Linked DNA regions of Oryzias latipes. The main gene of each other region encodes a partner of the protein of the gene in region 2 in a complex. Links are inferred from orthologs where the notes say so. Each region holds a gene or a part of one and is shown on either strand. Other genes may lie near its edges.

Region 1 (15,654 bases), about 4.5 Mb from region 2:
GTTCTGTAGATGTGAGACAGACGTGGAGCCAAACACACACTCACACGCTGCAGTGAGTGACGGGCAGCGGGTTTTACGTTTTTACAATCCCTGCGCGATTCACCTGCTGGCCGTGCCCACAACCCCCCCACCCCACTCTCTGCTTTCTTCCTCACACATCCCATCCCCGCATCTGCGCGGTTTCCAGTTGGTACAAACTCTGTGAAATAATAGATAATAGTAAACTGATAGTTTTCTCTCCAAGCACCGCTACTACTGCGCGCCTCTGGCATCGCATCGCACCCGAGAAGGACTGGTCTAATGAAAAAAGAAGTATAATTAAAGATTTGTCTGCGAGCCACATGTGACCATCAAAAGAGCCATATATGGCTCGCGAGCCATAGGTTCCCGACCCCTGAGTTAAAGAGTTACAGCAATTTAAGGAATTTCAACTCTAAAGCTAAAGCTCTCATGTTAGAGGGTTAATAAAATAAAAGTTACATTAAACAGATCATTTAAAATCTAGTCAATTGCTGTTTTATTAAAGAAACACAAACAATGGTCGTTAAAAAACAAAAATCATTTTCCATCAACTAACGAAAGTCTGACTATACTTTTCAATTCTTGTTAGACAGAAATACCAGATGTAGAAAAAAAGTTATGTCACTCTAATTGTTTGCTGCTCTATAATTAAACAATTTTGTAACTGACCCATGCCTCAAGAGCAAACTGCTTTGGTTCTCCAACGTTTGAAATAAACCTTTGGCATGTTTGAGCTTCTCCCACAGATTTTCTACGGGATTTGGATCAAAGGCTCATAGAAGGCCACTTACGAAAAGCCCAATTGTATGCTATTAGCCATTCTTGGGTGTTTCAGCTATGTCGTTTGGATCATAATCCTGTTGGAAAACCCACAAACTGCAACTGAGACTAAACTTTCTGACACTTGGCAGCACATTACTCTCCAGGGTTCCTTTCTAGTCCTGAATTTTCATTGTGCCTTGCCCAGATTCAGGACAGCCTGTGCTTGATGCAACAAAACAAGAGGTGTAAATTAAATTACCTTTTTACTGGGGGGAAAATGTGGTCCTGCCTTCATGCTCCTTTAATTTAGTCTGCAGAATAACCGACATTCATGCTTTTCTCGTCCTCTCCGTTTCTGTTTCCATCCACGTCTGTCTCATTCCTGAGCGACGGCACCGTCAGTGCTGCCTCTTTGGCTCATCACCTGTCAGATTAAGAGGCTGTTTTCACTCCGAGGCGGGTCGTCTCTCAGCACTCGACGAAAACGTTTCTTCTGCTTTCAGCCGACACTCACGGGATTATTTTCAGGCCCACTCAGAGATAGTGATGCATGTCAGCGTGGCATGTTGTGTACCCCCGAGTGGTTCAGATCTTTCTTCTTCATCTCAGAGCGTGCAGACAAAACCCCCTTCCAATCAAAAGCTGGAAGATGAAACACTCGACATGCAGAATCTGCTCAGGTGCAGTTTTTTTTAGTTCCTTTGAGCCACTGAGAGGACACTTAACAATGAATGAGTGTTCTTCTCACGTGGAACATCAGACTGTGCCAAGGAGTTCCAGTTATGGTAGCACTTTTCACAAGCAGACCACCCTAGATGTAACCTAATACTAATACTTTTTTAAATCCCATCACAACTTTGAGCCAGATCATTTCATTGATGTATGCACACTTAACGCATACATCAATCTGGATTTCCTCCACAAACATGGAGGAAATCTTCCATACACAGTGGGGCAAAAACGTTCTCCCACTTAAAAAGATGAGAGAGGCCTGTAATTTTAATTATTGTTAAACCCCAACCATGAGAGACAAAATGAGACAAAAATCAAGAAAATCAAATTTTCTGATTTGTAAAGTATTTATTTGTAAATTATGGTGGAAAATAAGTATTTGGTCAACAACAAAAGTTCAACTCAATACTTTGGTATATTATCTTTTGTTGGAAATGACAGCAGTCAAGCCTTTTCTGTAAGTCTTTACAAGGTTTTCACAAACTGCTGCTGGAATTTCGGTCCATTCCTCCATGCAGATCTCCTCTAGAGCAGTGGTGTTTTGGGGCTGTCGCTGGGCAACATAGATTTTTAACTACATCCAAAGATTTTCTATGGGATTAAGATCTGGAGACTGGCTAGGCCACTCCAGGACCTTGAAATGCTTCTTACAAAGCCACTCCTTCATTACCCGGGCACTGTGTTTTGGATGGTTGTCAAGTTGAAAGACCCAGCCATGTTTCATCTTCAAAGCCCTCGCTAATGGAAGGAGTTTTTCTCTCATAATCTGACAATAGATGGCCCCATTCATTCTTTCCTTTACACAGATCAGTCGTCCTTGTCCCTTTGCTGAAAAACAGCCCCAAAGCATGATGTTTCCACCCCCATGCTTTACAGTAGGTATGGTGTTCTTTGGATGCAACTCAGCATTCTTCCTCATCCAGAGTAGAGTTCTTACAAAAAGTTCTATTTTGGATTCATCTGACCATGGGACATTCTCCAAATCCTCTTCTGGATCATCCAAATGCTCTCTAGCAAACTTTGGAAGGGCCTGCAGATGTACTGGCTTTAGCAGGGGGACACGTCTAGCACAGCAGGATTTGAGTCCCCGGCTGCATAGTGTGTTACTGATGGTAGCCTTTGTTACTTTGGTCCCAGCTCTCTGCAGGTCATTCATTAGGTCCCTCTGTGTGGTTCTGGGAGTTTTGCTCACTGTTCATTTTGACCCTTACGGGGTGAGATCTTGCGGAGCGTTCCAGATGGAGGGAGATGGTCAGTGGTCTTGTATGTCTTCCATTTCCTAATAATTGCTCCCACAGTTGATTTCTTCACACCAAGCTCTTCACTATTGCAGAATCAGTCTTCCCAGCCTGGTGCAGGTCAACAATTTGGTTTCTGGTGTCCTTAGACAGCTCTTTGGTTTTCCCATAGTGGACTTTGAAGTGTGACGGTTTGAGGATGTGGACAGGTGTATTTTATATAGATAATGAGTTCAAACAGAAGCCATTAATACAGGTAACAAGTGGAGGACAGAGGATCCTCTTACAGAAGAAGTTACAGGTCTGTAAGAGCCAGAAATCTTGCTTGTTTGTAGGGGACGAAATTTTTATTTTCTACCATGCTTTACAAATAAATTCTTTAAAAACCAGACAATGCGATTTTCTGGATTTTTTTTCTTTTTCTCATTTGTCTCTCATAGTTGAGGTTTACCTATGATGAAAATTACAGACCTTTTTAAGTGGCAGAACTTGCACAATTTGTGGCTGACTAATATGTTTAAAAATGTCAATTTCTTTACAATGAAAGTTGAAAATACAAAAACTTCCATTGTTGAAAAACTGTTTTAATCTGAAGACGGACCATAACAATATAACTTTTCACATCCAGTTTAGAACTGGAAGAAAAGACCAACCCATTATCATCTGCACTTATGAGAACAACCTTGACGTTGAGTCATTATGGAGCATCTTACTAACACAACACAACACACCCATACGACTGGTAATAAGAAATTTAATTTTCAACAATTACAAAGACTGAAATATTTCAAAAGCATATTTATATGTTACATGGTCTGTACAAGGATGGCATGTGCTTCTTTCTAAATGATTCAAGAGCTAATGAAACAAGAAAAGAAAACTAGGAATATTTAAGTACTTTGATGAAAAAATATGATATTTTCCATGTCTTGGTACAAAATAGAAAAGAGCTTGAGCTGAATATTGACTGATATCATACCCTGATACAGTGATTAGGCCTCTTTATCTGTCACAAAGTCACAACACGAAGAAAACATGGCGGCCTCTTTGGTTCCACAATGCGGTTCATCAGAACAGAGCTCAGGTTCTACAAAAATAGCTTCTTTTCTTTCAATGGCAGTTCTATTTATTTCCTTTTTCTGACTCGAGTCACGCAACTCCTCAGTGCAAATACTCTAACAACCTTTGAAGAATAAGAGATCCCAGCAGCAGGCAAGGGAGGGGGAGGGCGGGCGTCGGACAGGAGGAGATAATAAGCAGGATGTGGGGCTCAGGTATTTGTGAATAAACGCCACAGACGTGCAAAATAACAGGCCTGTAAACGTATGTTGGTTTGGGCGCACTCGTCTGAAATCAGGGTTTGTAATGCGATTTGCCGCCGGTTGCCTCTCTACATACCAGCATCCCATTTTATTTTGTGAGATAAACTTTTATGATGTTTGTATCGTCGAAAAGCACAACAGGTCATTCAGTGACTCTTAGTGAGTGTTTTCAGTGTTCTTTGCACATACACTTGCACGTCATGTCTGACAATGAAAACAGGTTTGGTCATCTCTGTGAGACTTGTTGGCGGCTAGTATCCTTACAAAATCTCCAATTTCAAATGTCTCAAATTACATTTACCAACTAAAGACACCTCCATTTGTCCAAACAAATCAGGAAAGTAAAATTCAAAGGTGACAGAGTCCAAAATTAGAAACACAATTTGATATGGAGTCCATCAGGGATATATTTTAGGGCTTGATAACTTTTACAAAATTTTCCAGATTTTATTTCAAATTAACACAGTTAGGTCACAACTTTTGAAAACTTCAAAGGTATAGAGACAAATCTTTGTAATAAAATCTGTTATGGAGTACCGCAGAGATGTACTTGAGGACTTGATCACTTTAACAAAATGTGGCAAATTTGATTTCAAATCACCAGATCCTGAAACTTAGGTCGCAACTTTTAAAAACTGGAAAGAAATAAAGACAAATCTTTGCAATAAAATCTGTGTCGTGACAGCAACAAAGGTTTACTGTCTCCAAATTTCTGTCAAAAGCACCCATACACAGGTGGGCATTGTTAGTACTGCCTGTGAAGTAAAGTTTTTGTGAAGGCTCAATTTTAATTATGTTTTTCTAGATATTGAAAAATAAATACATCTTAAAAATAAATATTATTTGTCCATGAAATCATTTTCTTTCCTATGTGGTGAACTTTAGATGTCAGATGAAGCTCCTTTTGGCTTTGAGCCCTGATAACTTCAGTGTTTTTTAAGTTTACTTTTTTGTTAACATGTGCACAAATAGGTTTAGGAAGCTTATCATCATTTGTAACATCCAGCAAGTGCCTTTAGAAGAACACAAAACCTAAAATAATCCAGATAAAGTGGCATCTGTTGATCTTTCAGTGACCTGCAGCACTTAGTGCTTTCAGGTGGTCAAACTTCAGTGTTAAGCTTATAAACCAACTCAGCTGTCCAGTTGACTGGTTGTGTTGAGTTTTTAGTTTTTTACTTTCAGTAAAATACGTTTTTAACCACAAAAAAATATTTATTTTTTCTCACCATGTGCCATAGATACCCAAAAAAATGTAAACACTTATTATGATCTGTTGTGCTTTTAGCATCTAGAAACAGTCATTTTAAACATTTCAGTCAATAATTCATAATTGTAATGTAATTAAAAAATACCTTACTGATTGTCATTAAATTATATTTCCAAACTAACATTATCTGTTTATTTTGTCCCTGAAACATGTTTTCTTTTCATGTAAAAACAGTTTTGTAATCATAGAAACCTAAAGATGATGCTGTTTTCTAGTTTTGAGTTCATCACTGCTCCTCCAACCTCCAATTTTGGACTGAAAAGCTTCCATACAGTAAGTTCTGGACGACGTATTTTTTAAAAGTCTCATGATTGCTCCTCCCTCCTGAAACCCCGCCCGTCTCAGCCTGCCACTCTCACATTTCAAGTATTACTGATAGTTTGTCCAGTAAGGGCTTTAGTTGTCGGATTTGTGGGTATAGACTATACATTGCATAGCTCGTGCGGCATTCATTTACTTTAGAGAGACTCTAATGACGCATCGCCGAGGGCTTCTTAAAGGCATTTTCAATCTGCAAGTGCTTTCAAAGTGTGCGTCCGGGAGTGCAAAGCTTCACCGATATGGCAATGCCTCGCTTTCACTGAATGAAACAAGAGTTAAGGACCTTCGTCAACCAGACATTTTTGATTCCAAAAGGCAGGCAGAGAAGGGAGATGTTGTTCCTGATGTTCTGTGGTTTGTTGATTTGACAAAAATGTAGGAATTTGATTGAAAAACGTTTGATTTAATCAACGAGAACAATGGTTTTAAGGTGTTTCTTGTTTCACTTTCCTTTCGCAATTAGAAATGCTTGTTTAATGCAAATCTAATAACATACAATATGTAAAAGATATTACTAATGATAATAGTAACAGTTCATATATCGGAGTTTGTGTTGCTGCTGTATCTCTAAACTAAATTTAATACCAGACATGGTTTTTCTCTCAGACTTCAGGAATGACATCTCCATCTTTTGCCTTCTATTGAAAGAAAAAGCTCTGTTTTGTTGCCGGAACGGTAAAAACGATTGTGACTGCAGGCCTGAAGTGCTGTTTGTTAATTAAAGGAGGCTTCATAGTTGCTGCTCACAGCTGATTTGTTGGGTAAGGCCCCCCTTCACCTCATGAAGAGACGATCTGGTCTTTCCGCCTAAAGCTACGTTCACGTGACGCTTGTTCAAGATTGCTGCCTGATTCTAGTACATATTGGTATAGACTGTGTGCCAAATGTCAAAGTGATGAAAATCTCCTGAATCTTGCTCCAGGCTTTTTCTCTATTCTGATAGATGAAAGACTCAGTGTCATAGAATTCCAGCCAAACACAAACCACAATTATTAATCTGTCCCTCATCATCAATTTTCCAATGTTTGGTACTTCCGTGAATTAAAAGGAACGCCATCCACACGTCACTACCAAATCAGAGTGCCTGACTGAAATCTTAACTGGTTTAACTTTCAACACAATGGATGCATGTTTTGTGCATATAGCCCGAAAACGGTTGTAGAAACTTGCGTAGCGTTTTGAACGTGGAAGCCCAAAACGGGTGTTTACATAGACTGTCCATTGGAAGCAGCCACTTGAACGCGCATTGCCGGGGGCGGTGTGAATGTAGCTTTAAATTTACTGAACAACTCAGCCGACAGCAGCAGCATTTTATCTGATTATGCAGCTCAGCAAAGGCTGGACCAAAGTCTTCCTCACCATCTTGGAGATATCTAATGAGAAGCTGATTGTTTTCAAAGCGATGAAGAAGAGAAGGGGGCTGAACGGATACGGCCGAGGTTATGTTGGATATGACCAAAAAAGTCAACAAACATAAATATATGTACAAGTTTCTGTGCAGGCATACATGGGGATGTGTAGATACTTGTGGAAGTGGGTGTGTGCACGTTTTCTTCATTGTCCATAAATATTCTATATGCATTAGTTGCTGGAATATTGTGTGGAGTTCTCAGTTCAACTGGGCCCTCACGCACAACCGCATTCGTCCACAATCATGTTGGGAACGTCCCGCTTCACGATGTTGTACTCGTCATCGAAGTAGAGCATGGACATGGTGCTGAGCTTGGTGGGGATGCAGCAGGAGTTCATGGAGACGGGGCTCTTGCCCCGCATGCGGTACTGGTTCACCACGGCCGTGTGAAAGGAAGAGGCCGATCCGGGGACCCCCGCCATGTAGGGGGGGCAGTCCCCCTCACAGTAGTTCCCAAAGTATCCCGACGGCGCGATGATCCAGTCATTCCAGCCGATTAGCCGGAAGTCTATGTAGAACTGCTGGCGGCAGCACAGGTCACTGCTGCCGTCGCACTCCAGCCCCCGCTTCCGAATGCGGTGCTTTGCGTCTGCTTGCCTCGCCCGCACTACCAGGAAAGGTCGGTGCGAGTCGTCATTCAGATTGAGCAAGACGGGCACGACGCCCTCGGCCTCGCAGCCGTCGCAGCGCACGTCCAGGTTTTGACGCCTGTCACCGCCTTTCTCAAACACCAGCCGGACGGCCTCCGTCAGGGTGAAGGTGTGCCAGCCGCTGCGCCTCAGCTCCACCCGCTTCTCCACCAGGTTCCACTTGCTGCCGAGGCCGGGCTCCTGGTAGTAGACTTTCGTCGTCACCTTCCGCTTGCCGCGCTCCTCTGTCGGAGAAGGCAGCAGCTTAAAGTAGAGCCACAGGGTGGCTTGGATCACCCGGAGGTTCTGGTTTCCCTCGCTGGAGATCAGGAAGAACAGGCTGGACTTAGATGTGACCAGGTCATCTGAGAAGGACAAGACAAACACCTCAACAACAACATCAGACAGTAGAGCTGGTGTATCATGTCTGCTACAAGGAGGAGAAGACCTAAGACCCCATGAAATTAACCCAAACATGTGGAAATGATAGCGGATTGAGTCGAAAATCGTACCTAAACACGAAATCTTAAAATACTTGGGTTGTTTCTTCAACCCAATTTTTGGATTATTCGTGTTGGGATTTATTTTTTGGTAACGTTTTGGAGTAATACCAATTTTGGGGAGTTAGATTAGATTTGGTTTCATTCATTCATTCATCTTCTTCTGTTTATTCCCTTTCGGGGTCACGGGGCTGCCGGAGCCTATCCAGGGAGGGGGCACCCTGGACAGGTCGCCAGTCTATCGCAGGGTTTCATTTTAATCAACTTTATCCTTTTTTTTCCAGAGTTAAAACCCACCAAAAAGTTTTTAACCTAGGAGTTTAGCTAAATCGGGTTGTTTTTTTTAACCATGAAGTTTTTAGAGTGTGAAATCATTGCTTCAAGAAACATCACCTATTGGGCTTGTGGAAGAAACACCAGGACATTTTGAATCCTTCCCTTCTTCCAGACCCTCCAGAGATTGTGTACCCCTTTAACACTCCCCCCTGCAGCTCTAAATCCACTCTCTCTCTCTCTGCGAGAACATAAACGTAATTCTGCTTCATTGATGTATTTCTGCGTTTCTAATGTTCAGGACTTAAAGGCAAAGACGACACGCAGGAAGTCGCCGACAAGTTGTCAGATGAAGAAGATCAGATGTTGGAACTTTCAGAACTCATGTAAGGGCCCGTGATCATGGCAAAATATGGACAATGGAGGATTTATGGAATTTCATGGCTCGTCATTCAAAGGTGAGAAGGTTTCTGAGTCTGCATCAACCTTCCTATGGTTGTGGAGGGGAGGAACATTGGAGCAGGTTCAGGCTCCAATGTGCAGAAATGTCTTGCAAATTTCAAAATACAACAGATTCTCAAAAGCTTTACAACAAGGGACGCTTTAGTCTGATCTCTGAACACGCATGCTGCTCGCTTTAAATCTCATCCTGGACAAGAGAGCTGCTCCCTTCCTCTTCACATCCTCAAAATGATTCTGTTTTTTTCTCATGAATTCTGCATCAACACTGAGTCTTTTTGGATGTTGATGGAAAATAAATCAAGGTAAATACTTTATTAGTTTGAAATTTGTGCTTGTAAGATGATTCCAATTTTTTATGAACCTTATATGATGAAGGGTCAAAAACTGCTTTTCAAGCAACGCCTTTTGACAGACTTAACATTTAATCGATACAAAGTGTCAAATATTGAATTTATATTTACAAATGTGTCAATTTATTGATTAGTGATATCATTAACACATGTATTTGGATGTTTAAGCATCCTCTATTTTATTTTTCCAATGAATTCATGATTATTCATCTAAAGTTTGATACATCTATGTATAGGTATAGATTGCTTTTGTTGCCTTCTTTAGTATTTTTCATTCTGATTGCTTGAAATAAATCAGTTCCAGTCCCAACCAAAAGTTGCACATGATCCTTATTCGGCTCACCTCACACGACCCCAAGGCGGCCCATCCGAGGCTCAATGTGCCAAAACTAGACTAAAACAGCAATCAATCTGGCATCCCTTTTTCCAAGGCCAGAACTTAGCAGAAGCTGAGCCTGGCAGCTCCATCAGAGTGAAGACAATGAGCCGAATCTAAAGTTGTTTTCTGGAAAATGTTGACATTAAAGAAAACAAGAGCTTTGGGTTGAGTTGCGAACATCCACAGACAGAGCCTTAAGGTATTTTTATTGCTTACATTTTACATGTGAACAGTTCCTTTTCAAACACATCTCAGAGAAATTTCATGCGTGGAAAAAAAATGGTAGAGTTTGAGCCAAGAGGAAAACTTCTGCAAAAGTTCAACGTTTTTATCCTGAGAAAAATTCGATTTGACAAAATGCTGATTTTGGAGAAGAACGCGTCCAGATTTATCAGCTTTTGGTTCCTAATGTTGGGCGCTAATGTTTGACTGATTCTTTCCTGCCTTTTGTGCACGAACATGATTCTTTTTTTAAGGCCACAAAGGCAAAAGCATCCCGTCAATCTGCATTCAGCATTCAGGCTGCGCAACCCAAAGAAAACGCTCCAAGCTCTGAAACAGACGCGCGCAATAGTGCAAAAACACTCCAACCAAAAAAATAAAAATCACGCGCGCTCACACCCCACACGTGGGAACAAGCAGACATCACTGACCACCTCCTGCCTCCTCAGCCTCTCCGGGCCGGGTGAGGTGCGTCTCTGTGCTGGGACGCGGAGAGCCGCTCCAACTCCTAAGCTCTCCGTTTGGCATCCAGAAGAAACTTCCTGACTTTGTTTCAGATTAAACTGAATCTTTGTTTTTAATGCTTTAAAATATCAACAAAAAATGAGAAAAGGACCCAGCAGTAGGGGCCCAAATACCAAATAACGCACAGATTCGGCTGTAGTTTGTTTTGCTTGAGCGCACGACTGCGCGCGTCAACTTCAGATTTAATATTACTTTATACGATATGTGCCCAGAACAACAAGTGTCCAGTCTATTGCATTGCTGCCTGCAGTGCGCCGGCTGTCAGGAAGCCTTATCATGAAGGATCAATCTAAAGCGTTTTCTCTCAACAGCTTTTCTAATCTCCTTTGTCTCTGTTGCAGCGCGAACCTGACGCGTGAGTTTAAAATAAAAAAAACGTAAAAGGGACAATTTAAATGTCTCCATGACGCACCTTTCTCCGCAAAGCTGATGATCTCTGAGCTCTCCTCCAGAACCTCGTTGCTCATCGGATGCCCATCCAGGTCCGGGATCTCCACCCTGCCGTCCTCGCGTAGCTTCCCCGCATGGAGCTTCCGCAGCGCAGTCACCATGGCGGCTTTAGGCACAGGGTGCGTGATGTTTGGTCTTTCCCGCAGCTGCAGTCGGGTCAGAATGTGTCTCTTCACCGCTTCTAATAAGTCCCCGTCCACGCGCCCCGACTCGGCGTCCTCGGACCGAGCGGCGGCGCAGGACGCACACGCGCCCCGGGGAGCCTCGGTGCCGGGCGCAGTGGTGCAGCGAATATAGAGGACGCAAGCCACAAGGAGAGCCAGCCGGAGGGGACAGCTACTCATTTTCTGTGTGAGAAAGAGTGGAGGCAGGTTTTCTTTCTGCTCCCAGAGTCAAAGTCATTAACAGACAGAAAAAAGGGATCCTTCAGAGCCGCGCCGTCTCCATGCGGAGCGCGCGCCGCTCGGCTCTCACGCACTCGGATGCAGCTTCACTCAAAGATCTGTGCGCGCAGAAAACTGGGAAATTACATCGTTATGTGGATGCTCATCCTCAGCAAAACCATCAGTCGTCCGGATCTGTCAACATATTATTCCACAGAACCAGATCCAAATTCCGCAACAGCATCCTGTGTGCACAGGCACCATCCTCTTCCTCACTTGTGTTTTTTTTCTCTCTCTGTCTCTACAAGCCTGAGCGTCCCGGGTGGGAAATCCCGGTCTGATGAAGAGAAGGAGGAGAAGAGGGAGCTGTGCCAGAAAGCGCGCGCAGGAGCGTCTCCATCCTGGCGTTTTGTAAGACTCGAGGCGTTGCGCACCCAAAAGTTTTATACTTTACACTGTGGGCGGGGCAAAGCAGCTCTCCCTGAGGAACCCCTTCGCTGTCAGCCTGAGCGTGTGCGTGGAGCCACACCCCCGTCACACAACAAACACCGGCGCGCATGATCAACTGCCAGGAAAACAGTGGTGTACAATGTCTGTGTGAGAAGCTCTGAAATATCCTCAGAACCTGCAGAATCCTTGTCAGGGTCACGGAGTTGCTGGAGCCTATCCAGCTACTGTTGGGCAAAAGCAGGATACACCCTAAACAGGTCCTATGAAGCATGTTTTTGGACTGTGGGAGGTAGCCGGAGTGGGGGATATCCGCACACGCTCAAGGAGAACTCCACACAGAAAGGTCCCAGCTGGGATTTGAACCTTTCCGTAAGGCCAGAGTTTGGCATTACCAACGCGCCCTCAAATGGCAGTTAAATTGCAGACGTCAATATCCTTTGGGAGTTGTTCATTTTTAATAATCAGTGGAAAAAAATCTTTATTTGTTAACACATATTTTAAGTTCAACTTTCTAGCACAAAACTCCTGCTGATGCTGATGTCTGCTATGGGACAAATGAAATCCAAATTCTGCATTGTGAAAATGACAAAACTGTGCAGAGTAGCAACTGTTAAAATCCTTCTGCTCTTGGAACATTTATTTTGTTTGTGAATTTACTATATTTGGGGGGAAAGAATAGTAACAAAGAAATTTGATTTATCTCTGACAAGGTTACTACACTCAGCCTCCAGATTTAATGAGACTGGCTGACATTGAGGTTATTTTTAAAAAAAAAAGAAAGAGAAGCTTTTCAGATTTGAACCTTAATACTTTCAGATTTCAATTTTCTTGAGGAGGCAAATCACATTTAGCTTTACAGTGCAAAATATACATTGGTTATGCATTTTTTCATTTATGCAAAAACTAAAAAGCAACTTGAACTGTAAAAAAAGTTTTGGTCTAGTTATTACTACATTTTCCAGTTTAGAAACACTTGTCTTTAATAAAATGACACAAACAAACAATAAGGATTTAGTTTGAAAATCCAAAAGTTAAAAAGCGGAGAAATTAAGGTGCAGTGTCTGATCACTGGGGCATGAGAGGTGGCTGTGTGGCTTTTATTTACAAAACGGACAAATAAGATAAAAAAAAAAAAAAAAAAGCTTTTCCCAAATATTAGAAAGGGGAATTGGCTTTGTAATATTTTCCAAACTGTGGAGTAAAGTTCCCGGAAACTCAGTCATGAAGCTTCTGCGTCAACCCTATTCCAGCTACAGTTTGGCACCAATTGCAATATTCATTCTTTTGATTTTAATATGCGTCCTTCAAAGTTCCCCTGTCTGTTGGAAAAGGATGTAACTTCCCGCTGTTTCCCCATGTCAGAGTTTGATTGAAACTAAAACATGACAAAGCGACAAAGGCCCTGAATCTGGAGCTCTCAGGCCGGACGATCTCCATATTCAAATGTCCCGGTGCGTTTTTTCATGCAACACGATCCGACCCGCTGAGGTCGAGTGACACTGCTTGACGTTCCAGACATTTGTTAGTAAAAACTGCAAAACCAAATCCGGCCATCACGGCACGAGAGCTGCGTCGACCTCTGACCCTTGCTGACTGCTTTGACTGAGGAGTCCAGACCCCCCGCCACCTCCACCGCCGGCACACTCCTCCAACAACACAAGGCGTCTGAATCCTCATGATGGCAAACTCTTTGGCTCAGAGATTTAAGATGCAAGGTTAAAAGTTGAGGAAGTGAACTCCTAAACACTCCAGCGGCTCCGGATCCTGACATCAGGGTGAAAAGTGGGGAAATGGCGCCATCTTTGATCCAAACACGCAAACTACAACATGCATCAGTGAGCGCCTCAAGAAGCTGGTAAACTGAGCTTTCTACTGTTTGTCCCTTGTGCTATCTTAGATGACCCCACCCTTACATTGACATGTTCTCCCTACCATGACAAAGGTGGATAAAGGTGGAAATATTTCATGTAATCCATGGACACCAGTGAAGATCACAAATCATTGAAGAAAAAAGGTTCAGAGCACTGTCTAGTGGGTCTAGATGACCCAACTCCCAATGTTAAAGTGCCCAGGATAGCACAAGGGTTACTTCACACAGGGTGTCCAAACCAGGGTTCACCAACCTTTTTGAGACCGAGGGCTATTTCATGGGCACCAAGTGGTATGAAGGGCGCCACTAAAAACCTCCTAGCCCCCCCCCCCCCCAAAAAAAAACAACACAATTTGAGGACTTCCTTTTGTGTGCCCTATTTTTATTTGCTCATTTTACACACAAAAACATGCATGAATTTTCTAGACTCGTATTACGGGGGGGGGGGGGGGTGTCAAACTCAGTTGCAGAGGGAGCCTAATTTCAAAACAGACTTTAGGTTGCAGCCGGACAAGATAAATATTTATTGAACACACTAAAAATAAACTTTTAAACCTTTAAAACTTTAACTTTATTTTAACTTTTTAAACATAAATGTAAATAAAAACAGACAGGAATATTAATCCTCACATTAATGGTTTTCTTTGTCTACCTTTATCTCAGAATTGATATTGTTGTCATTGACAGACATGCCGTGGTTGTTTGTTGAATATTTGCTTCAATAAAAAAAAAAAATATATTTTTTTTGGGTGCATTCCCTGCGGGCGCCACAAGGGGTGCACTGGCGCCCGCGGGCACAGGGTTGGTGACCCCTGGTCCAAACCTTTTGCGAAGAGGGAGAAATTAAGGAAAGGTCTGTCAGAAACATAGAAATTGATCAACATTACCATCAATGTTGAACCATTGACAATGTTTACTGTACTGTTTATGTATAGTTAACAGAATACAGTTTTGTATAAAACGGAAAAAAAGAAAAAGGATTTTAGGTTAAGAGTAGCCTCTTAGGTTTACCAGCACACATTACACTCATACTGCCAAGGAAATCGTAACCGTTATCATTCACACACATAAAGTAACTTTCATACATCAGAGTAAAAAGAAAATGTATACAGCATATATTTTTATTCCTGAACAGTTGTTTGTTTTTGTTTTTGGTGTGAACTTCATTAGTTATTTCTGTATTTTGAAAAAATTTGTAATGTTTTTTTACAGTTTACATGTTTTGCAGACCGCATGTTTTTTACACTTTTGCAGCTGTATTTATTTAATATTTAATATTTATTTCTTTATTTAATAAGAATCTAATTTTTGATAATAATTTTTTCATAATAATTTTAGTAATATTTTTAATTATTTAATATAAATGTCATTTGTCATTTGTCAATGTGATGTCCTTTATTGATGTTATATTATATAGATTATTTCTGAATGCCGTGTTGCTGTCACAGATAAATTAAATTTCCCCATTGTGGGATTAATAAAGTCATCTATCTATCTATCTATCTATCTATCTATCTATCTATCTATCTATCTATCTATCTATCTATCTATCTATCTATCTATCTATCTATCTATCTATCTATCTATCTATCTATCTATCTATCTATCTATCTATCTATCTATCTATCTATCTATCTATCTATCTATCTATCTATCTATCTATCTATCTATCTATCTATCTATCTATCTATCTATCTATCTATCTATCTATCTATAATGTACTTTATAATTACACACAAACAAAAAACAATGAAAATGATATGCAGCCTACAGTGCTGTAAAGGATGCTTGAGTTTCACAACTAGTTCTTCACTGGTCGCTGTCCTCACCCTCCTTCTCCTGGCCATCGTCCTCACCCTGCTGGCCGTCCACACGCTGCTGTCTGTATGGCCACAGATTCTCGTCCACATCACAGCGTATATTCTCCCTTGTGATGCAACGAGAGTAGAAACGGCGTGCATGTTGTAACCATCCCCTACACTGATCTCAAGTAATATCCTCACACACAGCATCCATTGCATGGAGCAGGGACTTCTGATCTTGAGCCTTATGCTCATACACTCTCCACCTCCAAGCGGAGAAAA
Region 2 (15,654 bases):
CGATCAAATATTTTTGGCTTTATTAGGAAGTTTTCCTTTATGTTTCGATGAAAAATATACGTTTTTTTTTTAAGTGAGACCCGGAGATTTTCTGAACAATGGCGGATTGTGAAATCGGGACCCGGAGTTGGAGATAATTACGTCTTTTTATAATTACACTTCCCAGATCAAAGTTGGATCAAATAAGCCAGGAAGATTTCGATCTCCATGCCTGGTTCACTACTCCTGTCTGTTCGGTTGCTAGGCGACAGGACATTCACAGATGTAACGGCTGGAATCACCTAAAGGCTAGACTCCAAATTCACAAATATCCGGCCTACCCGCTCGACGGAGGACCCAGCCAACGTCCCCCGGGAAGGCCGCGGCCACTGAAGGGCGCAGCCCTGGAATTTGGACACACCCATGTCTCCTCCGTCATCAATGTAATAATGGTTGACACTTCCGAGTCCCTGATTGGTCAAAGTTCAACGGGTTTAACTTTCAACGTGCGTTTAATGGCTGCTCGGTTTGTACGCTCGTAGAAACGTGTGGCGCATGAACACGAAGGTGTGAGCGTAGGTTGAAGAGCTCACCGATGGAGGTCAGGTCCTGCGTGGTGAAGGACAGGTCCAGCGAGTTGGGTCTCTCGGGTCGGCGGGCTCTGGGTTGCCGCGGCAGAACCTCGCCCCTCATGCTGACCGCAGCCTCCTTCTGCGCTTCTGCAGGTCCGGAGCTTTCCCCTGGAGGCCCGCCGCTTTCCCGGCTTCCCCCTTCTGCGCTTCCGCCCTCCTCCCCCCCGTCGCTCTCGCCGCCGCTCTCGCCGTCGCCTTGGCCGTGCCCCGTGTTGCTGTTGTTGTTGTTGGTGTTGGGGCGAGCCGAGTGCAATGCCCCCGCGGCGGCGTCTCTGAGGTCGGGCTGCTCTCGGCTCAGCAGCGGCTCGTTTTCGTCGGGGCTGGCTGTGATCAGGCCCAGGCCCAGGCGGCCGTCGTCGGACGTCAGGGCTCCGGACCCGTTCTGGAGCATGCTGGGCCCTCCGAACCCCGCCGCTCCGCCGGGCGCCATGGATGACATCCCTGCAGCTGTGAGCCCGTTGACGTTCACGCTCCCGTTGGCGTGTGCGTCCCGCATTGCTGGAACGTTGTTTGTGCCGGCGCCCCTGTGGGCCTCGGTCGAGTTCGAGCCAGTCCCTGCACCGACGTTCATCTTGTTTCCGTCCACCTGTCGCAGATTGGACTTCCCCGAGCGTCCGAACTTGAACCGAAGCGAGGATGAGGACGACTCCTTCTTGGCGGGCTTGTTGCGCAGTGGCAGACTGGACGGCCTCTTTGGCAGGTTTTGCTGCTTGGGCAGTGGGAAGATGGTGTTGGGCATCGCCGCAGGGGAGTCGGACGTTCCCGAGGCCTCGCTGGCCATCTTGATGAGGGGGTACAGCAGGCTGGAACTGCCCGGGCTCAGCGGGTCTGGAGAGCAGAACTGCTTCTGTGAGTGCTCCATCAGGTTCTCATCAGAGCTCTCCTTCAGGTTCTTATCCACCTCCTTAGGATCCAGTTTGGTGGTCTCCAGGTCTTCCTGGGTCAGGTGTAGGCAGACGGGGACCGAGGTGACCCCAGCGGGACCATCTGACTCCGAGATGGTGGTGGTGGTGGTTGTGGTGGAGGTGGAGGGGCTGCCTCTTTGGCCCATGCTGGTGCTGCCGCCCTCTGGGCTGGGCAGGCGGGCGTTGGCTTGCTGCTGGCGCTCCTGGTTGATGGAGTTCCTGTTTCTCTCTCCGGTTCCGGCCCCGGATCTGCCAGTGATGGAGTTGGTGGCGTCGGCCTGCGTGTTCTTGGGGACTCCTTCATGCTCCTCGATGTACGTGGAGGGATGGTCAGTGTACGGGCCGCTCTTTGGGGTCATACGGTTTCTGTAAAAAGTTAATGGGACGAAAACAAAGACGTGAATGAAAAGTTTGACATCGTAGCTCAAGTTTTGCGATAAAGGTTTGAGCACAGAAGCCAATGATGTCCTCACGACTTGAATCATGTGCTTTTTGACATTATTTTGGTAGGGTTAGCTCAAGGTCTCCGGCTGTTCGTCAAAATAATATTATTTTATTTGCTAAATAAATAATATTTAGCAAAAATGAACAACAGATTTTCTAAAAATGAAGGAAACGTTGGACACAATGACTGCCAAGAGCCCTGACCACTTGATGAACTTGCTATGCGAAAGCTATTAGATATGATGTACCACAGGGCACTGAACTTGGGCCAATACTTTTTTTAATATTAATATGCACTTTTGCATTTTTTCAGTTACTAAAACTGTTTTTTTTTACTTTTTGATTTAAGAATGTTAAATTTTATGAAGGAAACTTTTTAAATTAAGGGAAATTTTGACACAATGACTAACAAGTCTGGAATCAGAACCTTTGACCACTTGATGAACTTGCTAAGCTAAAGCTATCAGATATGGTGTACCACAGGGTGCTAAACTCAGGCCAAAACGTTTTTGATCTTGATATGCACTTGCATTTTTTTCAATAAAATGTTTTCATGTTCATTTTTTATGTACAATATTGTAACTTTATTAATGAAACGTTCAAAATACATAGAAATTTAGACCCAATGACTGTCTGACTTGGAATTGGAACCCCTCACAAACCCCCCTGAGGTACTTGTAAAGCTAAAGCTATCAGATATGGCATACCACAGGGAACTGAGCTCGGGCCAATATTTTTATAGTTTCAAATTCTTTTCTATTAGTTTTAATGTACAAATTAATAATTTTATTAAAAAATACTATTCATAACAGATTTTCTTAAAATGAAAGGATATTTGGACCCAATGACTGCCAAGTCTGGAATTGGAACCCCTGACAACCTGAGGAACTTGTAAAGCTATCAGATATGGTGTACCACAGGGCACTGAGCTCGGGCCAATACTTTTAGAAACTTTATATTTTATACCAAACAAGCAGGTCTTTAGTGTATATTTGATAAAGGGTCATATTGGGGACCCACCTCTCATTGTGCAGCGTGGTGGACATGGGGTTGAGCGTGGGACTGACGGATTTGGAGCGGTCCCATATGAGCAGCAGCTCTGCCAGCCGCTCCTCCGCGCACTGGGCAGTGAGGCGAGCCTCGGCGTCCGGGTCCCAGCAGTCCTCCATCGTCTCCTTCAGAGAGCGGACGGCCTGAAGCAGAAGAGACGATCACAGATCACTGGCGTAACTGCAGGGACCTGTTCTTTAGTCAGGAGTGACTTTCTATTTGGAGAAGACCCCAATCACAGCTCGTCTTCTAATTGCTGATGATGTAATACAAAGATTCCTGATATTTTGTTTGGATGCTGAACCAAAGCCCCTCCCCCACCGCTGTAGCCCTTTAGTGTAATGATCCGTGGATCAGAACTGCTCCGGCGTTCATGTGGATCTGAGCTACAGTCAAACGGGTCTGTTTTTACCACAGACGATGTGAGTTACTAAGAAAACGAAGCATGCTGAGAAAGTAGAATGGAAATGTTCAGACGGTTCTTTGAGACATTTAGACAAAATACCCTCAAAACACCGGTTTCCTTTGACGCAAGCAGTTTATCAGACTTGATATTGGATTTGAAAAAAAAAATAGATTTTCCCCCCAAAATGGTTGTTTTATTTAAAAAAAACAGTTTTTGTTACAGAATCCAGAGCAGTTCTGCGCCTGGCAGACGGTGAACTCTGGCTCAGCTCCTCACAAACCTACCAGGCTGTTCTCCTTCCAGGCTTCTGGGAATTTGGGTCGTTGCTTCTCCCTGGAGACCAGGACCTGCATGTCCTCAAAAGTTGGGTGGTTCCCCACTTCCGCCTGAAAAGCCATCTGGTACTCTGGCACCGACTCTCCTGCAGGAAGGCAGAGGGACGGGCGGACGATGGGTTCTGAGATCAGATCCGTTTCCAAAACAACAAAAAAGGGGGACGCAGACTTAAAAAAAAAAAAAAAAAAGTCCGACAGAGTTCCTCACCTGGGAAGAGGTCGCTGCAGCGCATGAACGTCTCCCAGTAGACGAGGCCCAGCGCGTACATGTCCACCTGCTTCAGAGCCGACTCGCAGTCCCTCAGGTTCACGGCGCCCTCCAGCACCTCCGGCGCCATGTAGCGGATCGTTCCCACCTGGAAGACGGGGATGTGTGGGGAAAACCAGGTTTCATGTTCCAGTCACATACATATTACAGTGAAAAGGACAAACAAAGCTTTATTTTGGAAATGACAGTCTAAAAAACCCAAATATTATTAATAAAACAGCTTTGCCTGGGTCTTTACCTCACTGATGGCGGCGTTCTCCTCCTCGCCATGGCGCGCCGGCCTGTTCCCCGTCAGCTTCATGGACAGACCGAAATCGATGATGACGCACGTGCCGTCGGCTTTGGCCAGGATGTTCCTGCTGTTCAGGTCTCTGTGCGACACCGCCGGCTTGTACAAGTCTTTACAAAGAAAAAAAACAAAACGACAAAAGTTCACAAACTTCTTTTTTCCTTTTTAAATCGCCCCCGCCGGTTGCAGTTCCAGGCGCTGTCCAGCAGGTGGTGCAGCCAGGCAGCTGCAGATTCGTACCATTGGCTTGTGGTTTTCTGCCGTCCCTGCAGCTTCCTGTGCTCATCACTCCTGAATCATTTCAGCGTTTTTACCCAAATCACATCAATTCTTTTGACTTGGACGTCACTTTAGTGCAGTTTGATGTTTATCTACGCTGATGAGGAGAAAAAAGGAAAGTACGGCCGGCGAGGCCGAGGCCCGGCGACAGAGCAGTGAGCCACACACATCCTCATAATTTATCCGCCTCCCTGGTTTCTCCCTTTTTTTCTTTCTTCTTTTTTTTTTTTTAACTGGCTGCAGGCAAAGGCTATAAATACCCTGAGCAGGGCGTGCATGCACTGTGTACATGATTGTTTGTCAAAATACTGCGAGAGAACACTCTGGAAGGCGAGGTGAAACACCACACTGTAGACCCCAGCTTACCCCCTTTAAAGATTTCCGTGTGCAGGTAGGCCAAGCCACGCGTGACCGAGTGGGCCAGCCGGCAGCTTCTGACCCAATCGTTAGTATGGAGGGTCAGATAGTGACTTAGGGAACCCTGAGGAGGAAAATTCAAACAATGAGACATTTGTATACTGATAAAGGGTGTTAATCTTTGGTTTTTAGAAACAGCCAATAGAAACAGCCAAAAATACTAGGAAAACAAACAGCTCTCCTCCTAATTTTGGGCATCGTTTCTAAAAATCCTCGTTCTTATTGATATTCTCCTCATCCTCTCGGCATCATCAAAGCTGGAGTTTCACTTCCATCAATTTGGTTTAAGACCCGACGCAAGCGAATTAAATCGATTATTCTTTATTCCAAAAGTCAATTTTGTTTGGTTTTTAAATAATAAGGGAATCAAACTGAACAAATGTGGAGCTTTTGTTATTATCGGTGTGAGGAAGAGCTGTGTTTTTGCCTGAAAACGTGGACTAGTAACAGCAGGAGGCTCACGTGTGGGTAATACTCCATGACCAGCAGGTACTCGGTGCGCCCCTCTGGGCCCGTGCGCTCGTCGGCGGCGATGAAGCGAGCGATGTTGTCGTGCTCCAGCAGCGGCAGGCGGTAGATGGAGCACTCGTTGAGGAAGTTCTGGCGGTTGCCGACGGTGAAAACCTTCACGGCGACGGGCTGCTCTTCCAGGGAGCCGCAGTACACGGCGCCGTACCGGCCGCGTCCAATCAGCTGAGGCGGGGGGAAGGGCGGGAGAGAGAAAAGGTAAATTTCTCAACATCCTGTGGGTTTCATACGTTTACAACTTTGCTAATCTATTAACACCAAACAACATTACACAGGAAAGAAAAATCTTAAGGGGGAAACAAGAGTCAGAAGGAAGAGATAGAGGAGGTAAACTAAATTACCCATCAGCAACTCGATTACACCGTTAACCCGTTCAGATCTGGGGCGGCCTTTGAGCACGGGAACTGCAGAGCGGGTTGAAACTCATTCAATTAGTGCCCTGAATTACCCAGAGCGCAACATGCTGTTAAGGCGGCCCCGGCCACTCCGCCTTAAAGAGCCGTTTCCACGGCAGTACGACGAGAACGCAGGGCCGCATTAACATGGCTCTAATTCCTGCCTCCAAACTTTATCTCGGGTTAGAAAACAAACCCTGGTAAACAATGAACTTGTTTAGTCTGTGACTGAGGCTCCACCGGCTTCCCGCCCCCACCACAGGCAACGAGTTTAATGTGAGAGAGCGTGTGCACATGATAAGACGCAAGGACGTTGTTCGGAATTCAACTGCACCCCATCTACGCCTAAAGGGAGACAACGAGGCTGCAGACCAGAAGCCCTGCGACGGGTTTTGGAAATGAAATCCATCATTTTTAAGCCCAAGTCTCTGTATTTAATTTCTTAAAACAGTTCAAATTAATACTTTATTGTCACAAATAATCAATAATCTACTTTTAAATCAATTAAAACAGGCAGTTGATGTTTCTATGTTCCCAAGAAAAAGGAGCTTTTATTTTGTAAACCTGAAAGCCATGTTCTGGAGCTAAAACATTAAAATAAAATATTGCTCTCAAGTCCAAAAACCTCAAGTTTCAAGTCTTGGAGGTCGAGTCTCTTCATTCAAGGCTTCAAGTTCGAGTCCCAATTCCCTATCTTTGTTTTTTTTTCCACTTTGTCTTGACCGTCAAAAAACATGCTAAAACTTTAGCCTCTAATCTGAAGGCTAATTTATATGATTTGATTAAAAAAAAGGTATATTAAAATGTTTTAGAGTCGGGTGATTGCATTACAATTAACACCTGTGATGTAATTTCCCTTAAAATATGTCAACTTCCAGATTGAAGCTCTTTAAAAAACAAAAGTGCAGTTCATTACATAACCACTAGGGGCTTGTGGCTTGTAACTGTTTTCTGACTTTATTTTTTGAATCTTTTCTTGTTAAAGCAGATAATATAAAGTAGCTTAGTGTTACATACTGTCACGTTTCTCTTTTTATTTTGCATTGTTTTTTCCGTTAGTTTTTGCATGTTTTACGTTGCTAAAGCTTTCTGGATCTCTGAAAAAAACTCTTTGAGACACTTTTATATTGAAACCTTATGTTTCAAGTCTTTGAGGTTGACTCTTAAGTGTAACTCAAGTCCCAGTTTTAAGTCCCAAGTCCCTATCTTAGGCTTGTTCTAACTTTACTCGACATGTTGATAAACATGCTAAGACATTAGCTTCTGATCACTAGCATTATATTTTTCAACACTGGTTTGCGTGACTTGAATAAAAAAAACGTATATAAAAATGTTTTAGAGTAAAATGATTGCATTAGAATGAAAAACTGTGGCGTAATTTGAAAGAAAAAAAAAGTCAACTTATTAAAGCTCATTAAAAAAGCTAAAGTGTAGTTCATCACAGAGCCACTAGGGGATTGTTACTCACCCTCCCCAATTTTTATTTGGTGTAATTGATTATTTATCAGGCATGTTTTTAGGATCAAAGCAGACACTATTGAGTGGTTATTAGTTTCACATTCTGTTAAATTTCGCCTTTTATTTATGTTTTTTTTTACATGTTGCTAAAGCCTTCTGCATCTCCGGAAAGCACCTTTAAATTCAAAAAGGCGCTGTACAAAAATAGCACTACTAAAAATAATAACATCTAGGGCTAATTTTTTTTTTGACTCTTCTTTACCTGCATGTGGTCATTTGGAAAAGCGTGTCCAGACCCGCAGGGAAAATGGAAAGTCTATTAACCTCTACTATAAACGCCGGTTTATATTTTTATCCAATGCATCAGAGAGAATTATGCTGAAAGCTTCAGGGGCCTCGTGTTGTTTGCTTCACATTAGGGAGGCCGCCTTGTTAGCATGAGTCATCCTCTGCAAAATCAGAAAAATCAAAATCCACTGACGAAGGCTTCTTTGTTAAATGTTTTGCTGCCGCACCTGCTCACCTTTTTCTACTTTCAGTTTCCAATTTTTCCTCTGCACACACACACACACACACACACACACACACACACACACACACACACACACACACACACACACACACACACACACACATACACACACATATACATATATATACACACACATATATATATATATATATCTCAGCCTATTCCTGCTTCGGAAATTGGAGCAGAGACAAACAACCTGGTTCCTTGGCTAGTTTGCCTTTATCTGCTTAAACAGTCACTGTGGTTCGATTTCATGCAAACTATATTGACGTCCTCTCACAATGTTGGCTCTCCCATTTCCAGATCCGGTGTCAGTGTAAGCACATCCCTATTTTTATACGCCTGACCCGGAGCTTTATTCGCGCTGCCATGGTCGGATGATAAAAGTCACATTGAAATGACAAATGCAACTATAAACCTTGATGTATTTTTGGGCGCATCATTTTTTATATTTTTTTTCTCCTTCGGTTTCTTCTTTCTCCTCTTGTGTTTCTTTAAAAGCCGGTAAGAGCGTGGAATTTTTTTTTTTTTTTTTTCTCAGAAGCTTTTTTACTTCAGTATAAAAAGATCAATTTATATCCCAAAAAAAAAAACTTTCCATTTTTCGGTTGAAGTGGTGCAAAAATAAAAGCCCCTGTAGTGCTACACAAGCTTCTAATGGCTCTCTTTTTCTTTCTTTTTTTTTTGCAGTCGCTTGAAAGTTAGAAACCCCCAGAGACGGAGAAACGGGGAAGCTGGCGTGGCCGACCTCCAGCAGTTTGAGATTGTCCAGGTCCAGGGAGCTCTCGGAGGCAGCAGCTTCCATCATGTTCAGGTTGTGCAGGCCCTGTTTCCCGTCTCCTGACGACAACAACAACAGAAAAACACAACAACTCAGGTTCTTGCAGCACATTCTAGCGACCTTCGAAGATGACGATTCCTGCTCTCTTCCTCGCAAGCTCAGCGCCATGGTAACTCACCGTGCATCATGCGGTAACCGCAGAAGGCTGCTACAATGAGCACGGCCAGCACGGCGACCGTTGCCAGGGCAATAATTATGGTCTCTTCTTGGCGCAGTGTAGCAGGGTCTACAAAGCAAGAGAAAACATTTTTCTTTTAAACATAAAAGTAGGAATTTGATGAAAAAATGGTAAATGAAGAGGACATTTCTGGATGTGAACTTCTTCCGGGAGCCTTGGCCTATGTCTGTCAGCTGAATGCACACAAACTCCTTCAGCTTGACTGCTAAGATAACGCAAACATACATCATTTAAATGAAAAAGAAGCTAAAAACAAGGCCAATCTTGAAGCTGTAAGGATATATAAACAATGAAAAAGTGTGATTCTATTTTAAAAAAAAACTTGTTAAACATCTCAAACTGATTTTTTTCTTTTATTTGTTTTCTTGATCGACAGAACCATCAAAGACGTTCCGGGAAAAAGCGAAAAACCCTTTGAATACCAAGTAAACCGCACAAACCAGTTTGGTTTTTGTGTTGTGTCTGTTGCCATATTTTTACTAGATGGTCCCATCTGATTATGTTCAAAGTCAGATAAAGCCTGTTTTGCGTTCAGCTAGCCAAGAGTTGAAGCGAGTTCAAAGACTTGCATCGTACCATTTTATGGAAAACAGAATTCCTAAAATAACAAAATAAATAAAGAATCAAATGCTTGATACTTGAACAGTAGTACTTCTGTTTTTGCTTTCACACTGCACCTTTGAGAGTGGACAAACTACAAGAAATGCCCTGCACTTACAGGCTGCTCCATTAGAGGGCAGTGTTGCCCAAAAAAGGACTTTTCCTTCCTTAAAGCATTATGTTTACTAAATGGACTTTTTTTAAGGATTTTTTTTTCTTACTCAAAAAGTTGGTGCTGTTTCTGATTTGAGTAAAGTTTCCTTCTCAAATTCTCATCAGTTTTCGATACACAGTGGTCCCTCACTATGTTGTGGTTCACTTTTTGGAAACATTTTAGAGTAATTCTGCATGTTTTTATTATTTTTTTTTATAGTGCATTGTGTTCTAATCGGCTGTAGACCACTGTCAATCAATCTTAATACTTTCATTTTTTTTTAAACGGAAAATAAGACGTCACCAATTTCACAAAGTTAAAATCGAATTAATACAAGTATTTTACAACGAATATTTTTGAATCCACTGGTGACAAAAATGTTGGTTGTTTACTAAAAAAAACATTTAAACAGATTTATTTCGCAAAAATTGTTCAAACGGAATGCATTGTGGTCTAAATTGTGGTGAGCAGCGATGCATACTGGTTTTTCACAGCGACTTCTGGAAAATTTGTAGGGCACTGAATTTTAAAATTTTATATTCGAACAACACTACAAAATGGCGAACGCACTATCTAGTGAAGGAATTCGGACCCAACCTAAGTGCCTCTTGAACATCGTGTGTTCAATCTTTGGTAGCTAATAGATCTTTTTTTATGTTTTTATTTGAGAGTTTAAACGAGAGATAATAGTTTTGAAATGTTCATCAAAGTGCAGAGTGTCCTGAGGGGCTTTACAGCCTAAAAACATCGATCATTCCACTTTGCGAACTTCACCTAACGCAGGTTATTTTTACCAAAACGAGGGATCACTGTACTTCTTTTCAGTCTGTTTGCATTCACACTGTTGCTGAACCTCATCAGAGTTCACTTACAAGCTGATTTCCAAGCTTGTTAACGATGCAACAGATTTGACTATAACCTTCCACACCTGCAGAACCAGGTAGACCAAACAATCCACAACATCTCCACTTCAACCAAAAAAACAAAAAAAGAGCAATTTGAGGAAGTAAACTGAGAAGAGCTACAAACCAAAAGAGAATCTAATGTTTTGCAGATGTGGGTCAAGTTGTTGAAGCCTAATGCATGTTTCTATGAGGGGGAAAGGAAAAGGTGTTGCCACAGAAATACATGAACAACTGCTACAGTTTCTGGGTAAAGAGACATGAAGTATTTGCCGTGTGCTGTCGTGATTACTCATCTAAGTTGGTAGGTTCAGTTGGAAGAACGATCCTGATAATGAGGTTGATTTTGGAGCTGGTTTCTGTCATCCATGAGTCACCTGCAGCCTCTGACAGCAGATGCTCTGGTATGATTCTCAAACTTTATTTCACCCACCCAACAAATGAATGCCATAATAATGTTCACTTGCATACATTTAGTCCATTTGGTGATTGATTTTTTTCAGCTTTTCATTTCAGTTGGTTATTAAAAAACAGTTTTTACACAACCAATCACAACTTCTTAATATAAAAGCCGAAAGAAAACCATTTTTTTTAAATCAAAAAACAATCCAAGAAATTCCTTTTTTAAAGGAAAATCCATCAATGGATTTTAGGATTTGATCTTAAAGATCCACTCCAATGAAAATGCTGTTTTATGTGTCATTTTTCGGATGATGGAGGACGTCTATTGAGAAAATTGAGCTCAAAATCTGAATTCAAATTGTCTGAAAACATCGGTCGTTTGAAAAAAGCCCATATTTGTGACATCGAAAGTACGCCGGCCGGGTCATAAACAGAGAGCTCTCACCCACAACTCAGAGGCGAAGAAAATACGGATTTTGAGCGATTATCAAACTTGTAGTTGTATTTGTTTCTGCCTTAATGAGGTAAAGGTAAAACATTCTAGCAAAACTAACATATCTATAAAAAAAACAGACTGTATTGTGGACCATTTGGGCTGCTAACAGCAGACAGACAAAAAAACACACACATTTGAATGCCACCAGTGTATAAAGACCATCAAAACCACAGTTTAAGCTTGGAATTTAAGATGGAAGCAATGACCAAAGGTCTAGAATCTAAAACCTGTCTTTCTTCCAGAAAGAGGCCAAAGATTCACTAACCCACCACGAGTGCAGTGGTGCTACTGGGACACGCTGCTGTGGTCAATAAAAAATGGCTTCTAGAAGCGACACGTTTTACACACTGTGCATGACAAGGCCCCACTCAAATGCCAAGGTCACCTTGACACAAGGGAGCCATCAGGAAAAACCGCTGACACACACACTTCTGTCTTCATATCTCCAACCCCAGCCTTCTCAGTCGTCGTGTTTCCAGTTGACAGCATCCGTTGCCTGAGCCCTCGTACAGGGTCAAATGCTTTATTGGAATCTGGATTACATGGTTTTTCACTAGATATTAAAAAAAAAAAGAAGTTGGCCCTTAAACCTGCATCAGAACATTTAAGAACTCTAATAGAACTCTATGGCCTATTAGGGTTGGGCGATGTCCCCTAATTTGGCCGTTGACGATGTTTGCTGTCAACCATCGTGATGGACGATGACATCGTGGGGGGGGGGGGGGGGGGGTTGTATTTTTACATTTTTCGTTCTTATATAACTGCTATTCGTTTTTTTGCTTTTTTCATTTTATTTCCCAACTAATGACTAATCCGCGATGATCCAGTATAAACTGAGGGAAGTGACTTTAACAGAAAAAGTAACAAGCAAAATAGAAGAGAAGTGTAGTCGCTCCCGCACTTAATTAGTGAAGTGGACCGGCGGAGCGCGGAATTAAAGCTTTGTGTTTGATGGGAAGGGGGGGGGGGGTACATGAGCGGTATGTGTGGGAGATTTAAGACTGCGATCCGTCCTGCAGCTCTAGGGGTACAAGCAACCGAACTCAGAACCGGGTCTAAACGTGTGTGTCTGAGCACAGCTCGGATCGTCAGCACACACAGCGGTTTGAGCATCAAAGCAGAAATGTCGCTCAGTCCTTAGAAAACATTCAAACAATCACGTGGATTTGTGTTTCCAGTCGTGTCCCGACTAAATAAAGGCTGATGTTATTCTTACACGTTTACGTGCAGCGCCACCCAAAGCTAATGTTGTTAGCCCGTGTTAGCATACTGCTAATCCTGGCTCCGTTCAGAAAAAGCACTGACCACACGGATTAAAATTCAAATGATGAGCGAACAGGTGTTTGATAATAACCGTAACATTATTAAAAGCACGTTTAAGGCCCGTACACACCGGGACGAATATTCGCCAGGCGTTATTCGCCAGCGTTTTTCGCCACGTTTTTTGTGTTCACACCCAGGCGATTTTCGCTGACGATGAGTGGAGTGAACATGCAATTTCATTCCCTGACATTAGATGGCGCTTAATGTAAAACAGAAATACTCCTGTACACAAGGTGGCGCTGCGCAACTTTACGCTTCTGAAAGTCGCTTTTCACTCAGAAGAAGAGAGCAAGTATTTACACGCTTGTCAGAATCAAACAAAGAAAACATGAATATTTCAAGCACCAGTAGCTCCAACTGGTGCTTGGTTCGGGGATATTTTAGAATGTCCGTCATTATTGCTTCGCGGTTGTGTAGACGCTACTTGGCGTCTATCTTCTTCGCTGGTATGTGTGCTCAGCAAGGCAGTTTTGTGTTTGAGCGCCCCCAAGTTGTGTTTTACTGTAACTTCAGAAGCTCCAGACACGTGAGCAAAAGCGCCATTCTCATTGGTCGAGGCGTTTTTTTTTTTTTTTGACGCTTTAACGCCTGGCGTTTTTTCGCGTCGGTGTGCACACTCTCGTTGGTGCCCTTTGTTTAGTCACGAGGCGTTAAACGTCGGCGAAAATCGCCGGCGAAATTCGTCCCGGTGTGAACAGGCCTTTAGAAGATCGTCTCGTATTTTACCGAGCTGACATGTCAATATATATAGCCGCTCGGTGCTGTTATCGTTTTGTATTGAATTGTTACATCCAATAAAGTTTGGAAAAAAAAGCCGCTCGGCGGAAGTTGTATCCCCTTCCGGTTTTCAAACTGCGCATGTGCGAATACTGCGCATGTGCGAATGATTTATTCCGACCGAAATTGTGACCTTAGTGAACGTTTTTATATTCTGAAAACATTTTTCTGGGCCCATCTACACGGTTGGATTCCAATCCGACCATTGATCCCATCAAGATATTTTGTACATGTAACCGCGGCTTATGGTGTCGACGCGCAACGTGGCGGGGGCGTGGCATCACGATGGTGGTCTCTCCATCGGGATGTCAGTCACCCATCACGATGGACGATGATATCGTCCATCGGCACAACCCTATGGCCTATCTCTTGGTGTTGTGACCCATCAGAGGGACAACCTCTTAAAAACGTGAAATCACTTGAACTTTTTCAGACTGCATTAATGTTACACCGATAGACCAGTTTCCTTTGTTTAATCCAATTGTCAGTCCAAACTTGTATGATAAAAGTGCTAGTTGCCTCACAAAAATCTGACTTGTTCATAAGGAACCACACAAAACCACTTGACAAATCTCATGTTACTACGGCAACGACATGGGTATGGGAAGAATTTTAGGAAATATCGGCACCATGAAAAGCTGTAAAAACCTTTTTTTTTTTGGTGTTCCGATGAGAATTAATGTCTCCACCCACAACCATCGTGATGGACGATGACATCGTGGGGGGGGGGGGGGGGGGGTTGTATTTTTACATTTTTCGTTCTTATATAACTGCTATTCGTTTTTTTGCTTTTTTCATTTTATTTCCCAACTAATGACTAATCCGCGATGATCCAGTATAAACTGAGGGAAGTGACTTTAACAGAAAAAGTAACAAGCAAAATAGAAGAGAAGTGTAGTCGCTCCCGCACTTAATTAGTGAAGTGGACCGGCGGAGCGCGGAATTAAAGCTTTGTGTTTGATGGGAAGGGGGGGGGGGGTACATGAGCGGTATGTGTGGGAGATTTAAGACTGCGATCCGTCCTGCAGCTCTAGGGGTACAAGCAACCGAACTCAGAACCGGGTCTAAACGTGTGTGTCTGAGCACAGCTCGGATCGTCAGCACACACAGCGGTTTGAGCATCAAAGCAGAAATGTCGCTCAGTCCTTAGAAAACATTCAAACAATCACGTGGATTTGTGTTTCCAGTCGTGTCCCGACTAAATAAAGGCTGATGTTATTCTTACACGTTTACGTGCAGCGCCACCCAAAGCTAATGTTGTTAGCCCGTGTTAGCATACTGCTAATCCTGGCTCCGTTCAGAAAAAGCACTGACCACACGGATTAAAATTCAAATGATGAGCGAACAGGTGTTTGATAATAACCGTAACATTATTAAAAGCACGTTTAAGGCCCGTACACACCGGGACGAATATTCGCCAGGCGTTATTCGCCAGCGTTTTTCGCCACGTTTTTTGTGTTCACACCCAGGCGATTTTCGCTGACGATGAGTGGAGTGAACATGCAATTTCATTCCCTGACATTAGATGGCGCTTAATGTAAAACAGAAATACTCCTGTACACAAGGTGGCGCTGCGCAACTTTACGCTTCTGAAAGTCGCTTTTCACTCAGAAGAAGAGAGCAAGTATTTACACGCTTGTCAGAATCAAACAAAGAAAACATGAATATTTCAAGCACCAGTAGCTCCAACTGGTGCTTGGTTCGGGGATATTTTAGAATGTCCGTCATTATTGCTTCGCGGTTGTGTAGACGCTACTTGGCGTCTATCTTCTTCGCTGGTATGTGTGCTCAGCAAGGCAGTTTTGTGTTTGAGCGCCCCCAAGTTGTGTTTTACTGTAACTTCAGAAGCTCCAGACACGTGAGCAAAAGCGCCATTCTCATTGGTCGAGGCGTTTTTTTTTTTTTTTTGACGCTTTAACGCCTGGCGTTTTTTCGCGTCGGTGTGCACACTCTCGTTGGTGCCCTTTGTTTAGTCACGAGGCGTTAAACGTCGGCGAAAATCGCCGGCGAAATTCGTCCCGGTGTGAACAGGCCTTTAGAAGATCGTCTCGTATTTTACCGAGC

The links.
Region 1: the proteins of bmpr2 (region 2) and inhbb are in contact, whole or in part, in a crystal structure (PDB 7U5O), measured with the Homo sapiens proteins. The link is inferred for Oryzias latipes from reciprocal best matches to the Homo sapiens genes BMPR2 and INHBB. Residues at the interface, in NP_001195.2 of Homo sapiens: Tyr40, Tyr67, Leu69, Val80, Lys81, Trp85, Ser86, His87, Ile88, Gly89, Asp90, Gln92, Ile108, Gln109, Tyr113, Phe115; in NP_002184.2 of Homo sapiens: Phe309, Asn318, Asp319, Ile322, Ala323, Pro324, Gly326, Tyr327, Tyr328, Thr379, Met380, Ser381, Met382, Leu383, Phe385, Asp386, Asn390, Ile391, Val392, Lys393, Asp395, Ile400.

The regions. Positions count from the first base shown.
Region 1 is NC_019860.2:10,771,431-10,787,084, forward strand, and holds inhbb (inhibin beta B chain), read right to left. Parts: upstream 13,623-15,654; 5' UTR 11,212-13,622; coding exon 10,830-11,211; intron 8,072-10,829; coding exon 7,293-8,071; 3' UTR 3,488-7,292; downstream 1-3,487. UniProt on the Homo sapiens protein: Inhibins and activins inhibit and activate, respectively, the secretion of follitropin by the pituitary gland.
Region 2 is NC_019860.2:15,318,162-15,333,815, reverse strand, and holds part of bmpr2 (bone morphogenetic protein receptor type-2), read right to left. Parts: intron 9,580-15,654; exon of another isoform or gene 9,313-9,579; intron 8,985-9,312; coding exon 8,877-8,984; intron 8,868-8,876; exon of another isoform or gene 8,758-8,867; coding exon 8,666-8,757; exon of another isoform or gene 8,608-8,665; intron 8,422-8,607; exon of another isoform or gene 8,313-8,421; intron 5,698-8,312; coding exon 5,467-5,697; intron 5,069-5,466; coding exon 4,954-5,068; intron 4,419-4,953; coding exon 4,258-4,418; intron 4,108-4,257; coding exon 3,960-4,107; intron 3,838-3,959; coding exon 3,701-3,837; intron 3,154-3,700; coding exon 2,981-3,153; intron 1,883-2,980; coding exon 573-1,882; intron 1-572. UniProt on the Homo sapiens protein: On ligand binding, forms a receptor complex consisting of two type II and two type I transmembrane serine/threonine kinases.